Linked DNA regions of Rhinolophus ferrumequinum. The protein of the gene in region 1 interacts with the protein of each later gene in a pairwise test. Links are inferred from orthologs where the notes say so. Each region holds a gene or a part of one and is shown in the gene's direction. Other genes may lie near its edges.

What was found. The genes of interacting proteins can lie anywhere in the genome.
Region 2: the proteins of DLG4 (region 1) and DLGAP3 interact in a two-hybrid assay, tested with the Homo sapiens proteins (2 studies listed by BioGRID and IntAct). The link is inferred for Rhinolophus ferrumequinum from reciprocal best matches to the Homo sapiens genes DLG4 and DLGAP3.

Annotation. Positions count from the first base shown.
Region 1 is NC_046304.1:11,613,511-11,621,554, forward strand, and holds the start of DLG4 (disks large homolog 4), read left to right. Parts: upstream 1-5,006; 5' UTR 5,007-5,204; coding exon 5,205-5,234; intron 5,235-8,044. Other genes in the region: ACADVL (very long-chain specific acyl-CoA dehydrogenase, mitochondrial), read right to left, coding at 134-259, 353-482, 742-886, 1,289-1,423, 1,529-1,593, 1,678-1,750, 1,835-1,900, 2,176-2,251 and 1 more. UniProt on the Homo sapiens protein: Postsynaptic scaffolding protein that plays a critical role in synaptogenesis and synaptic plasticity by providing a platform for the postsynaptic clustering of crucial synaptic proteins.
Region 2 is NC_046292.1:24,258,271-24,265,252, reverse strand, and holds the start of DLGAP3 (disks large-associated protein 3), read left to right. Parts: upstream 1-3,904; 5' UTR 3,905-4,103; intron 4,104-6,982. UniProt on the Homo sapiens protein: May play a role in the molecular organization of synapses and neuronal cell signaling. Could be an adapter protein linking ion channel to the subsynaptic cytoskeleton. May induce enrichment of PSD-95/SAP90 at the plasma membrane.

The DNA of each region.
Region 1 (8,044 bases):
CCCAAAGGGAACATGCTGTCCAGCTGCTTTGGCTTTTGCACAAATCTCCAGGGTGACCTCTAACAGCCGTCTGCCCTGGAGTTCAGTACTGACCCCTCCCTGGCTCAATCTCTTCTTCCCCAGGCTCACTCACTGGGTAACACCTCCAAAGGCCCTCTCCACCACAAAAGCTGTGATCTTCTCCTTCACAGCCCCTGTGGCTGCATCTGTAACTGGTGTCTTGGCAAAGACTGTGAAGATCTCAGCCAGGCCCCCATTACTGTGGAAAAAAAAGGGTTATCAGGGCATGCAGGACAGCAGTGGGGCCTAGAATTGGGCAGAGATGGAGAGGAGGGGAGAAATGGAAGATTACCTGATCCAAATCTTGCTTCCATTGAGAGTGTAATATTTTCCACAGGGGCTGGGCACAGCCGAGGTTCGGATGGAGGCTGCATCTGACCCACTTGAGGGCTCGGTTAAACAGAAAGCCGCTAAAGTCTCCCCTGTTGTGCAGAGAGCGCCTTTATGCTGTGCCCACTGCTGGGTCCTGATGGGCTTTGAAGGCCCCTCAGTGCCCCCGCCCCGATACCCATAACACCTCTGGTAGTATTCAGTTTCTTCCCATGTCCATGCCAGCACCCTGTGATGCCTTCCCAGAACAACCCCCAACCCACACGCCCAACTATGTGGTGGCTAAGTAGCACCAGCCTAATTGGTATCGAGCCCAGGACACCCCCCAGGTGGCTCGTAGGCCTGTCTCACCTGATGCCAGTTTGGGGAGGTATTTTTCTCTCTGTTTCTTCGTGCCAAAGAGCAGGATACCTTTGAAACCGATGCTTTGATGGGCCCCCAGGGTGATGCCCACACCAAGGTCATGCATGCCCACGATCTCCACCAAGCGGGCATACTGGAGGAAAAGAGGGCATCTGGGGCTGTAACTGGCTGCATGCAGACCTACCCTTAGCAGGAAAAGTGGGCAATAGGGCACGCCCTGATCTGGGCATCCCCACACAGTGCGTAGAGAGGAGGACCGTGGCAGAGAAGGACATTGGCTAGCTGGTGTCCGTACTACCCTTACGTTAAGGCAGTACCCACCTTAGAGATTCATTAGGATTTGGGAACCCGGGTGAGGTCCATGGCCCTAGTGGGCCTGCATGTAGTTTGGTGTGTGTGGAGCAGGAGGGTATACACATTGGGAGAGTCAGCATCCCATAGACCGCCAGATGCTTGGCAGAGACCTTAGCCCCAGGGTTGAGGGAGGAGCTGAATCTGGGATACTGGGAAGTGACTGAGGGGCTGGCTCCCTCACCTGGGTGTTGCAGAGGCCCACGCCACCCAGTTCACTGGGCACTTGCAGACCAAAGGCCCCCAGCTCCTTGAGGCCCTGCATGGTGGGCTCCTCCACCTGCTCCAGCACGTCATTCTTGGCAGGATCGTTCACCTCCTGGGGAAGTCACAAGATCCCACATCCAGGCTCCTTTTGAACTTCTTAATCTCTTCCAACCCATAGAGGACCATGCCCTCTTTCCCAGCCCCAGTAATTCCTCACCTCGAAAAAACGGGACACAGGCCCCACCAGTTCTTTGAGAAACTGCATCTGCTCCTCGTTGAGCACTGCAGGGCAGCAGGTATGGGCAGGTCATGCCAGGCAGGTCAGGGGAACCCACCTGCCCCCACCTATCTCTGACTAACTCTTACCAGACGGGTATGGGAACACCTGATCCGTGGTGAGCTGGCCCTTGAACATCCCCACAGCAAAGGACTTAGATTCCTGCGCCAGGAGAAGGGGGTTTCAGGGGGCTGGCTGAGGTGGGTCCACACCTCGCTTAGCTCCTCCAGGCTTTGGGTCACATACCGCCTTGGCCCGTTTCTCCTTGGTCGAAGCCTCAGAAGAGAGAGAATCTGACTTGTCCAGAACCGCCTGGGGAAAGCGACAGTTAGCGCGGCCGGGAAAGGGCTACCCAAGTAAGTGCCCGGGAGAGCTAGGTGCCGGGGAAGGGCGGATCCGATGACCTTTCCCCTAGTTTCGTCCCCAGGCACCCTGGCCTGCCCTTTCCCCTACTTTTTGTGCCAAGCCAGTCGGCAGATGACTGGCATTAAGAGGGAGACCCTTATCCACGTCAGGGAGGTGGGAGACGCGTCGGACGCCCACCCCGAGCATCCCTCTTCCACCGTCCCAAAGCCGCCGTCACCTACCTGAGTGGCCGCATTGGCATAAGGTCGTCGGGCAGGGCATGGCTGGGGCTGCCCCAGGAGAGAACAGGGCCGCGAGCTGTGGGGAGTTGGGGGTTCAGTCCTGGCCGGGTCCCCAGGCCCGCTGCCCCCATCCCTCCCGGCGTATACACACCTCCCGCACCCCAACCTCAGCAGCTGTCGCCCCACTCTCGGAGCCGTCCTCGCCGCCTGCATCTCTGAACCGCTCCGGCTGTCGCTGCTTTGAGCTCTGACCTAACGCTCTACTCCCGTCAGCCAAGGTCTGAGTCCCCCCCACCTCTGACTCATCCCCCACAATGCCCCGGGAGGCGGGCGGAGCTTTCCGGCCGCCAGGGCATGCTGGGAGCTGTAGTTCCGAGTGCTCCTGAGTCCTGCATTCTGGTTGACCTAGGGTGATCTCCAAACGTCCCTTGTCTTCCCAAAACTCCTTCCTCCCGTCTGTCCGAGCTAGAGAGTAGTCTTCAGAAGGCGTGATGGGATACGCTGGGACTGAAGAAGTTTGCAGCCAGAGGGATGTAGGGTAGACTGAAAGGAGAACTTCCCAAGAAGAGTTAGAAAGGAGAGGTGGGAAGAGAGAAGTATAAATAGAAGCAGTGGCATAGAAAGACGACTCTGGGATCTCTCCAAGTCCATCTCCACAAAAGGGAGAGGAATGGCGGGGTGGGGGACTCGAACTGGGGTGTGACTGTCCTAAGCATATTCTCCTGAGACCTAGGAAGTATCACTAACTCTGGAAACACCTAAATTTTCACAGTAGCAAGGACCTCCTCTTCCCTCCTGGAGTTCACTGCCTCCCATGTAGGGCCACTGAGACCTTCCTCAACATCTGTCTCTCTCTCTGCAACCCCTTCCTTCCTGAGACCATGTGCTCAGGCTAGACCTCTGGGTAGATGGAGTCTTCCCAGGCCTGGGAAGAACTATAGGAATTCTCATGTTTCCACACTTCTCTACTCCTGGGCAACATGTCCCAGGTAATTTATGCCCATCTTTCTGCCATTCTCACTGGGGACAGGCACTGGAGGAGAGAGAGCTGAGCTCAGTTTCCTTTATTTTTGAGCTATTGGGGCCTCCTTGGGGGTGACCCTCGTTCTCAGTCCCTTAGGAAAGTGTAGCTAAATTGTGCCTGGCTTTGGGGAGAGGGGCCCAGGGTATGTGGAACAAGGTGGTGGTGGAGGTGCCTGGGGACCTAGGGAAGAATGGGACATCACTGGGTTTGTTCTGAGAACGCTTATTTGACCTAAGAGCTAGAATTGGGTGGGGAGAAGGCAGCTCAGCTCTAATCCTGGGGGATTAGGGAGATTAAAGTGAGAGAAGAGAGAGATGTCAGAGAGACCAAGAGGTGAAAAATAGAAGTCCTTGTGAAGCAGAGGCCTGGGGGTGGAGTGTGGGGCTGAGACTCAGGATCCTTCTCCCTGACCTTTCCATAGAGTCTGGGGTGAAAGGGCAAAGGCTGGGAAAGATGAGGTGAGTGAGGGCATTGGTCCTCACTTCCTTGTTCTAATTCGCCCACCCTCACTTGCATTTCACCAGCTCCCAGGTCAGCCCTCTGGCTCCTGGCTCCCCCACTATTGCGATGGGCACCCCCTCTCCTCACAGTGCTGCACAGTGACCTCTTCCAGGCTTTGCTGGGTGAGTAGTCCCAATTTTCTGAGGGGCAATGGTGGAATGGTCTGGCCTAAGCTTGTGAGGGCAATTACTGAATTTGGGGGCTGGTTGGGAGCCTGGAGATTATTTGGTCCAAGCAGGAGTTTCATGCAGGGGTCTGGCTAACAGTGTCCCTCCCTGAGGGACTATCCACTAGCCTTGGCTGGAGGAGCTCCTCCCTTACCAGAAAGAAGGAAGCGAAGTGATGGCAGGGGTGGCCAGGGAGGCAGGGGTGGGGGAGGGTAACTCAGTGCTGTTCCTGTGACAGACATCCTGGACTATTATGAGGCTTCCATCTCAGAGAGTCAGGTAAGGGGGTGAGGGTGGGGGCCTGACTTCCTGAGGGAGGAGGCAGGGTTGAAGGGGTAAGCAAAGTACTCCTGATATTGAACTGAGACTTTGGGATCCTGGGGACAAAATCCTGAGTTAGGGGCACAAAGAATGCACTCTCCTGTCCTTTAGCCCCTTCTCCCTCTGGCTTCCTCCTTTCCTTTGCCTGCCCCCATTTCTGGCACTAAAGAGTACAGGATATAATTACTTTGCGGGTTTCCTTCTGTGAATCCTGAGGGAGAACTAAGCCTGGGATTCCCTCCTGCCAGCCCCTCCCTCAGCCCTGCCATGGCCTGTCCAGTATTTAAACAAACATGGGTGCTCCCAGCCCAACTATGGGTGCTTTCTCCTCTAATAAATGAAATCCACCCTCGTCATGTCTGCTGTCCTTGCTGGTGGTTGGCCAGGTCTCCATGTTTGCCTCAGGGCCTCTCCGCTTCTGCTTCCATATCCTTTCCCATTATCCGGGTTCCTGCCAGCACTGAAGGAGTTAACTCTGCCAAGGCACCCCCCCATTCTGGCTCCTCGCTCCCTCCCTCCCTCCCCCTGCTTCCTCTCTCCTCCTCTCTCCCCTTCCCTCCTCAGCTTCACCGCTCCCTCGGCCGCTGCCGCCTCCAAGCCCCCCCCCCTCCCCTGCAAAGGCCCCTAGCCTCTGGCCAGTAGGCAAGACACCCCCCCCACCCCGGGGCTCCCCGAAATCCAGTTTCCCTCCCCCACCTCAGCTCATGCCCCAGCCCCCGAGCCCCGGGGCTGCCAGCCCCCGGTGCCCCCGCCCCTCCTGAGAACCGGGGTGTGCTCCCCAAGCCCCCTCCCCTCCATAGGGGACCCCCTTTTAGGGCCCCCTTCCCCTCCCTCCCACGCTCCCCTACCCTTCCCTTCTCCAACACCCTCTTTCCCCTCTCACCCCTCCCCCCATCCTGGCTCCCCCTGCAAAAGTGGGGTGCGGAGGGGGGAGGGGTGAGAACCCACGGAGGGGAGGAACAAAACTCCGATGAAGTCAGAGCCCCTAACCCGCCACCGCGGCCAGGCCCCCCAACATGGACTGTCTCTGTATAGTGACAACCAAGGTAAGCCTGATGGGGGGACTCTAAACTGGGGGGAGGGTATGAGTTTGTGGGGAGGGGTTAGACAGGTCTAACCTGGGGCTGGGGAGCATCAGAAGATGTATTTGGGGTCCTAATTTAGTTTTGGGGTTTCCATTTGAGAAAACGCTGGGTTTGGCCACAGGTGCCCCCTGGAGTGATCTCTTTGGTAGAAGTGGAAAATTTGGGGTGTTCTGTGGTTTGGGGGTCTGGTGGTTTTGGGGGTTCACCAACAATGTTTGAGGGAGACTTATTTGAGGAGAAGCCTGGCTCACATGGGAGTCCTGCTTGTGTATGTTAGAAGGTTGACTATGTGGGGGGGTCGTCTTTCCTCCTGGTGAACAAGCTGGCTTCCAGGTGCCTTGTCCAATTTCAGGGGTGTTCTGGTATGGCATGGGGGTAGGAAGTTATTGGTTGTGAGTGCCTGACTGGTCTGGGGGTATCAGACTGTGGGAAGGGGCTTGCTTTCTTTCTATAGAACCAGCATCTCCTGGTAGATACATTTGGGGGTGCTCTCAATTTGAGGAAACTGTTAATTTAGGGTGCAGTCACATGGAATGGGGAGAGCTGGGAGTTGTCGGAGAGCTGGGGCCTGACATTCACCTGAGGGAATGGACCAGGTGAGGTTAGGATCTGGGGCACTCCCATGGGAGGCAGAGGGTTGCAGCAGCTGAGGTTGCCAGCTCCTGAGGTTTTGGAAGAGAGGGTATTTGAAGAGGGGAACCAGGTGGGTGGTGCAAAATTTGGGGGTGGCCTAAGTAGGTGCCCAATACCCCCATCTCCTCCCACACTCTATCTACCCTTGGTTGAGAAAGAGGGAGAAGAGCAGATGGAGGGGAATGTTCCTGTTACCCCTGACACTTGGGATCATAGTCGGGGAGGACACCTGGATTTAAGGTGACTGGAGTGAAAAGAAATAGGACGGCTGGGCTGGCAGCAGTGAGGATCTGTACTAGGGTGTCCCTGTGGTTGGAGCCTGGAAAGGGAAGAAGAGCTTGGATGGGGAGCACAAGCAAGCTCCTGGTGGATGCAGAATACCTAGGTCTTGGCTGTGAGACTCTCGGACTGGAAATCTGGATGCTTGGTGTGTGCAGGGTGGCTTGGGCGGGTGGCAGGCAGCTGGGGGTTGGGGGGTGGGACAGGAAGTGGGGGCCGGGGAGGCGGGGTCTGGGTGAGTCACTGGCTGGGGAGGGGGTTATATTTAGTGGGAACTGCAGCTTCTCAGAGGAGGGAGTTGAGGACACACATGTTCCCTGCCACAAACTCACACATGTGTGTACACATGCGTCGTGTGCGTGTGAACATGGATGGAAGAGGTTGGGGGCTGAGGACCTTTAGGTCTGGAGCCCCCACCCTATCTCCAGGGCTACTTGCTGGTCTCCTTTTCTGTGAGCTTTCTCCTACGCTGCTTCTTTTTCCCAACCCTTGTAGTGTCAGTAGATTTTGGGGGCTTCAGTTTCTCTGGCCTGCTCTCCTTTAATGTCCTCTGGTTCTCTGCTCCTCCTGCCTCCAGCCCTTAGCCTTCCCCTTAGCCTTAGGCTCCCTGGCTGTGGTCCCGTGTGCAGGTGTACACAGAAAGCCAGTTGGAATGTGTGGGCTCTGCTTCCAACACGTGAACACATATGTGAGCGAGGGTGAGGGGCTTGCCTGCACTGACATTCTGGGAAAGGGGGCTTATCCATATCTCTTCCAGACTCTTACTTCTTCGATAGAGCCCAACGTTGAGCATCCATTAAGTAAGGAGCCTTGCGCAGAGAGGATCATACATTTGGGATCCTACAGAGGCATGGAGATCCAGGGTTGCCACATTCCTTGGCCGGAAAACTTGTCAGTCTTGGGATGGCGGGGACTCCAACTCCCATAAGGCCTTGAGGCACAAAATCCCTCAGTGTTAGGGGATTGCTGCCCGTGGGGCTGTTGGGAGTTGTGGTTCAGCTTTATCCAGGGCAGTGGAGGGTAGCCCTGGAAGAGCCAGGAGGGGACACATGGCTCTTGACCCCCCAAAATAGGGGGTGCTTAGGCTTTGCGGTCGTTGAGCTTCCCAGCTCCATCTGAGAGTCCTCCATCTTTCATTGCCTATATTTAGACTCCTGCCGCAGTAATTTAAGGAATACTTATTGAAAGCCTACCTTGTGCCAGGCCCTGTGCTTTGTGCTAACTCTGCCTTTACAGCTAACACTTATTCTTACGCTGTGTGTCTCTCTCTGCCGGTGTCTCTCGATCTCTGAGCATCTCTTTCTCCCACTCCGCCCCCATCCCTCCCTCTTCTCCCCGCGCTGCTGCCGCCGTTGCCATGGTAACCGGCGACGACTGAGGTTGCGTGGTGGACTTGAGGGCCGGGCGAGGGTGGCGAAGGGCGGAGCAGAACTAGTGGGGGAGGGGGCGAAGTGGGGAAAGACCCGGGGTATTTGGCCAGAGCCCAGGAGGCGAAGCGGTTAAACCCTCCGGGTGGTCCTTATTGGGCAAAGCTAAAATGACGGGGGCGGGGCAGTTTGGCCAACAGCCTCATTCATTGGCCGACAGGGGCGTGGCGAAGGGACAGTGTGGGCGAGGCCGGGGTGGGTGGGGGGGAAGAGCAAATGGGCGGGAAGTGGACGGAGGCGTGGTCTCCTGGAGGCGGGTGGGCGGGGTCTGGCTTACTCTCAAGGGAGGCGGGCAACAGCCCTTGGAACGGGGCGGGGCCTTAGGGCTGGGTAACCTGAAAGTGAGGGCAGGTCTGGCCTGGCAGGGGCGTGACGTGGTCCCTTGTGTCGAAAGAAGACAGGGTTTGAGGGGCTTGTTGCCTAAGTCACTGC
Region 2 (6,982 bases), on another chromosome or scaffold:
ATTAAAACTCTTAGTAGATTAGAAATAAAATGGAGCTTCCTATAGCTGATCAAAGAAGTCTCCAAAAATCCTACAATAAATATCATCACAAAGAAAAAATGTCAGAGCATTAAAGTTATAAACAAGACAAACATACCGTACAACAGCACCACTTCTATCTAACATTGTATTCTAGGACTTGGTCAGCACAATAAGACAAGGAAAATAAACCAAAGGCAACAGGATTATTTTATTTTCCTAAATATACACATACATATATATTTCTATAAATATATACATATACATATATATAGTTATTTTATATTGTGTCTCATAATTTTAATAGTCGAATTCTTTACAGATTTGTTTTTGCTGGTTCTTATTTTTGGTGCCATGTTTCCTTGTGTGTTTGGTGATATTTAACTGTGTGGTTCATTTTCTTTGGAACTTTATCTGTGGGAATTATGTGAGGCCTGAGATGAAGGTAAATTCCTCTAACAAAGATTTACATCTGTTTTTGCCAGACACAACCAGTCTGGGATCATTTTATACTAAATTCTTGATTTGAGATTTTCCAGATTACCTAACTAGAGTGAATTTGATTGCCTGTGCTGTGAGGTCTAACTTGTAGTTATGGATTCTCAGGAGGTGATTCTTCCTCCCTACACTCAATGCTATTGCAAAGGCTTTAAACAGGTAATTTTTCTTGCAATTTCCTAGGTGTGGAGACGGGGTGAGTTTTTTCTAGTTCACCTGTACTTAGAGTAGAGAGAGCCATTTTAGGCCTTTAGTTTATGCACGGGAGTATTTGCTCACCTTGGGCAGACCCTGCACTTTATCTTCTTTCCCAAATGCCCTGAGAGATTATGAAAACTGAAGTTCAATTTCATCTGTTAGCAAATACCCCTGTATGAGTTATTTATTGCAACAGTATTCTGGCATAACACACCATTCAAAAATTCAGTGGTTTAAATTAAGCATTTATTATTGCTCAAGAGACCTCAAATTGGCTCAATAGTTCTTCTCATCAGTCAGCCGTGGTCAGGTATATTTCACATGTTTGGGGATCAGCTGGCTATAGGCTGGTCTAAGATGGTCTTGGCTGGGATAGCATGGCTGGCTTACACTTTGTCTCTCATTCTCTAGAAGGCTATTCCAGGCTTGTTCTCACAGTGGAGGCAGGAAACCAAATGAGAGAGTAGAAGTATACAAGCCTCTTAAAACTAAGACTTATAATTGGCATACCATGACTTCTTCCACATTCTATTGGCCAGAGCAAGTCACACATCACCCAGATTCAAACTATGAGAAAATAGTCCATTTCTTGATGTAGGGAGTTTCAAAGTCATATGGCAAAGGACATGGATTCAGGGAAGAGGTGAATTGGTGCCATTTTTGCAACCAATGTATCACAGCCCTTGGGATAAAGTTAGCTTCAGTGTTCTGCTTACTTCTCTGGGTCTGCCTTCACTTAAATTTTAGCTGGAGTGATTTTTATTTCCTTGCTAGTTCATTGATGCATTTAACAAGATTTAAAAATATATTTTATCCACCTGTTTTTAAAAAAATCATTTATCACATTTTCAGTGAGAGAATCAACCAAACATCTAGTCTGCCATACTGCTTGATTGACATTTTGATGAGTTTCCGTCTCTGTATATATGTTATGCAGCTCTCTACCCTAATTCTCTCTCCCAATCTTTGAGACTCTACTCAAACGCCTCCTTTATGCTTCTTTACTTCTTTGAACTGCCTCTCTTCATCTAGGCAGAGCTGGCTGTTGCTGCTAGACTCTAAAAGTATTTTGTGCCCGTCTCTATTGAGGCATGGGATTCCTAATATAGCAATCATAATTTGTGGAGTGCAGGGCCCATTGCTAAAAAATGATTAAGAATTTCAAGATGTGACATCAGAGCATTAAACCAAGAGAGGGACCGTTTTAAGTGTGGGCTCTGTGTGACTGTACAGCACACACTCCCATGAAGCTGGCCCTGATAGTAATTATTGGTTTATATCTCCATCTTCCTCGTACATCATGGATGAGTGTGAGAGAACACTGTCCAAGGTAAGCCTATCTGTTTAATCTTTATGACCCAACAGGCTAGCAAAGTACCAGCTACAATCAGTAAATGGTTGTTGAATGAACAAATGAAAACTACACTATGCTATAAAACATATCAACCCTTTGATAACAGCTTTAAGAAAAAAAGTAGAAAACCATGTTAAATATCTATTTATTTTAAGATGCTTTGCAATTTCAGAGTAGTTAACAAAATGTATGTCTTAGAACTGAAAAAACGTTATGGTACCTTTTAGCATTCTACGTGATGGCTGTTCTTATGCTTCATGGAAACTGAGTTTCTTTTTCAGTTCTAAAGTGGGTTCCTGGGACCAACTTTCTATCTTGTTTTCTCTGATATCTGCTCTTGGCTGATCCCTGGGCTGGGAATTATCTGTGACCTTAGCTCATGATTCAAAAGTCTTACTTAAACTGGGTTTGCAGGCAGCAGGAGAGGTGACCAGTCTGACAATCTCCCACCAGACTTTTAGGTTTCTTTGGGAAAGGGCTCTCCAAACTCCTTTGTGCCATTTATGTCATGTGACGTCTTTAAACATCTCCCCGGGGAAAGGGAAAAGGCTTGGCTCTCAGTTTTAACTCTTTTGGGCCTGTAAATTCTACTTTCTGTGCCTCAGTTTCTCCCTTTGTACAAGGAGGAGACCCAGTGACCCTAAAGGGGTACAAGGAGAAGGGAATTGTTGGGTGAGTGTTGAATCAGAGCTACTTTAAGGTCTGTTCCTAGATAGGACAGTGGGTCTCCCAAACCCATACCTCATTACCCCAAAGCTTTCAAGATCAGAGAAGGAGGGGGAAGAGGAACAGGACTTTGAGGATGCACACTACTCGCCACCTCAACTTTTGCTCGTTCTGGGAAATCAGAATCCAGAACCAGCCCCTACCCCATATCTTCAGCCCCTCCCCTGCGGCTGCCCCAATGAGCCCCCCCACCCCCTTCCCTGCGTGTGCCCATTACAGCATCGCTGTGGGCGCCAACACGGATTCAAGCCAGGAACTGCTGCAGTCAGCTTTCCTCCGCCTCTCCTGGCTCCTGCAGCCTGTGTCCTGGCTCTGCAGCCTCTGGCTGTGCTCCGGACAGTACCCTTTTCTTCCTCCACCCCGCCCCAGCCTTGGCACAACCCCTGGCTCAGGGCCTAGAGGTGGGCGGGCACCGTGGGCACAGGTGGGGGGTCCCAGCAAAGTCGGCAGGTGTAGCGGGGTTCTCCCTCTTCACTGGAGATGCCTCGGCTGTAAGGACTGTGGGTGGAGGACGCCTGTCAGTGGCTCGGAGGCCGGGCACAGCGCCCCACCCTGGCAGGGGCTGGGGCAGAGGAAGGGGGCTCCTTGAACCGAGGCCAGGAGCTGAAGTCGGGTAGCTGACCGGGAAAACCTGAAGGAGAATCTCCTAAGGGGATGTGTCTGGGGGGCTTGTGTGTGACATTCAGGGTGTGACTGCCTCGATGGGGCGCGAGACCGTGTCTGAGACTGTGTGACTGTCTCCCCAATAGCCCGCCTCTGTGCTTAGGTCCTTGTGCCTAGGTCGGCTGTGAGTGGCCGTGACACTGTGTGCCTGTTCCTGGATCCCCGGCGGACACTAAGCCGGTGGTCCCGTGGGAGGGGACACTTATTTGAAACCCCCAGCTAGGCCTCCCCAGTGTTGCCGCTCAGCGAGGCGGGAGCTCCTCGGAGACCCCTGCAGCCGCCCGCCGGCTGCGACCTGGGCCCTCCTGGGTCCGGTGCGGGGGCGGGGAGTTCGGTCCCCCTCCCTCTCCGGACTCGAGGCTCGGCAGCCCTGCGCGGGGGCGGGGGCGGGGGCGGAGCGCGCGGGCGGGATCCCCCCGCCTCCCCTTCCTGGTCCCCGGGAAATCCAGCCTCCGTGGCTTGGCCGCCTCCCGCTCCGGCTCCCGCTGCCGCTCGGCGCTCGCTCGGGGCTCCGCAGCCGGCGCGGCCCCTCCGCTGGGGGCTCCGCAGTGCCGGGCCCCATCCCTGCCTGCCGGCCCGCCACCGCAGCGCCCCCGGCCCGGGCCGCCGGCACCATGTAACCCGGCCGGAGCCCGAGCTGGGCCAGGTAAGCCGCGGGGAGGGGTGGGGACGGGCCGCGCTCGCCGCGCCCTCTGCAGCGCCCCCATCCTCGGCCAGGCTGCGGCCCGGCGCCGCCCACGCCCCGGGCTCCAGCGGCCTCGGCTCCCGGCCCCGGGAGGGGCCAGGGCTGGGCCTCCTCCGCTGCTCCCACCCCCGCCCTCGCCCTCGCCCGGGTCTGGCGGCCCGCGGGCCTGGCCCGAGGGACGGGCGGGGTACCACTGGGAGCGAGGACCCACTCTCTGGGGTAGCGCCTCGGGGGCTGGCCAGCCCTTGCCCCGCCCGGCCCGGCAGGAGGCTTGGGTGAGGGAGGGAGTAGCCAGCTGGCTTGTTGGGGGGTGGGGGAGTGGTGGTGTTGGGGAGACCCGGAGAGAAGTTTCCTCTGCAGGTGTGTGAGTGTGAGTGCGTGTCACTGTGTGTCTGTGATGAGTGTGTGAGTGTGTGGGTCTGTGGGTGATTGTGCCAGTGAGTGTATACAGTGAGTGTGTGTGTCATTGTGGGTGTGTGCGTGTGTCATTGTGCGTGAGTTTGTGTGCGTGTTAGTGGGTGTATGCAGTGAGTGTGAAGGGTGTTGCTGTGTATGTATTCACGGACGTGTGTGTCACCACATGTGCCTGTGTATGTCCTGTGAGTGTGTATGTGAATGGATGTGTGTGTGCCAGTGTGACTGTGTCTCCATAAGTGGGTCCAGGTATCTATGGTCTGTATGAGTGTGTGTGTGTGTGTGTGTTGGTTGTGTGAGAATGTATCTGAGCAGGCTTCACTCTGAGTCACCCATACCTGAGCTTTTCCCCCCTCCCCCCTGGGGGATTCCAGGTAGTTGGGGGGCATGGGAAAGGGAGATCATACTTTGCAGAGGTCAGGGACTCCTCCCCAGGGACTCCTCATCTTCCCTCATACATACTCAGGCAAGAGCTGCATTGCACTCCCCCCTTGGTCCCCACCTTCACCTACCTCAGGGGGTACTTTCTGCGATGCTCTGGTTGTGTCCTTTCTGTTTGCTGGGGCCCATGGTGGTAGTGGGGTGTGAGGTGAGCTGGAGTGTGTGTGCTTCTTTTTGGGGCCTGGGAACTTGTGTCATCTCAGTAATGTTTCACCAAGGGACCTTTAGAGCCAGAAACCGAGGAGGCCAAGCTTCTGCCCTGTTCTTAGTCATCAGAGCAGGTGGCTGTCCCCCAAACTTCCAGGCCCTAAATTTCCAAGTTCTGGGTCATTGGTTCAGCCTGCTTGCTCTAGGTGGGTCTGTGCTGAAGCTCTTTGAAGTAATAATAATAATAAAAACAATGCCTTTATGTTAATGCAGGGCTTTTGAAAAAACGTTCCCCTCTCAACTCTTCTTATCTCGCTAATAGTGCTGGGAAGCAGGAAGGCCAGGTTAAGCCATATGAAATTGCCAATATTCAACTGTTTTTGTTTTTTTACCTGTAAAAACAACAGTTTCATGTAGTTCAGCCTAATATGGTGCCAATTTATAGATGAAGATGTTGAGGACTGAGAAATGAATTGCATTTCCCATAATCCCACACTGTTAGTGGTACAGAAAGCTTCCAACCCAGGTCATTTGGTGACACAAGGAGCTGGGTTGGGCGAAGGTTAGAGAATGTTGCTTCCTGCTGTGCTCTCTCTGACCCTGGGGGTACGGATCTCTATTTCTGCCCAGCATTCTCTGGGTTCTGGGGCTACTTCTGCACCCAGCTGCCAAGGCCTAAAAGGGAGAGAGAGAGAGAGAAGGAGGGGAGGGAGAGGCTTCGTGAGTTGGCAGTGAATCAGGGTCTAAAAAGGGAGCTGGGAGGGCTAGGGTGGCAGGTGTTTCTAAAAGGAACATGAACATAAGATGAACATCCTTGGATGCCACCCCCACATGCCTGACCCCCACTGCCCCACTGATCTGACAGGCAGTGCCCACTGCATTTTATGTCAGGGGGCTCATGTCCAAGAAGTGAGCTTGTATGTAGCTATCGAACGATGGCTAGGGGAGGAACCTTAGAATTAACTTGGTCCAACCTCTTAATTATAAAGTGAAGACACTGAAGCCCAGGAAGGGGAGGGGACTTGCCCAAGGTCACACAGCGAATTTGTGGGTTCTTGGCTAGTTTTAGCTCAGGAACTTTACAACTCTCCATGTTACTTTCCATTCCTGGAACCCTCCCCGCCCTCCTCCCTTCCCCATGCTCATTAGAATTGGGCATAGGGGATTTGGGGAGAAAAATTAAAGACTCAATAAGCCTGAGACTGTAAGTCCTTCAACCTGGTGCCCCTTTCCAAAGAGAGGGAGCTACAGATGTTCCTGGGGATGGGGATTCCTAGACGTATGTACCAGCAAGGTAGGACCTGGGCTTGTCTTGATTCCTGCTGGTGAGAGGCTGGCACTGCTGCAGGCCAGTCTCCCAGACTTTCTTCTGTGGCAGCGCCTGCTTTAAGCTACTGCCTGGCACCCCACATCATCTCTCTCCAGCTGATGCTGGGGCTTAAGCTGGCTGAGCTCCATTTTTCTTCATCCCACCCAGTTTCTGATGCATTTTGCCTCTAGCTAGCCTGACAATTCCTTACTTTATGGATTCTTGTTGGGTAGAGAAACTTCTGGGGCTTGTCTGATTTTGGAGTGGTCTGTAGTTACCATTGAACTCTTTTAAATTAAACCTTCCAGGAGTCTAGGGCAAATGCTAAGGATAATTGTTTCCATTTTACAGATGGGAAGACTGAAATTCAGAGAGGGACTTCTTGTTTGTTTGTTTTTTCTCTTAATCTACTAAGATCAGTAGCAGAGGTTTTTGGAGTGAGGGGATAAAGGGAGCAAATGCTTTTGTCTAGAGGGGCTTAAACAGACCCCTTCTAATGTCTTACCATCCCCATGGTCAGGAAACCTTT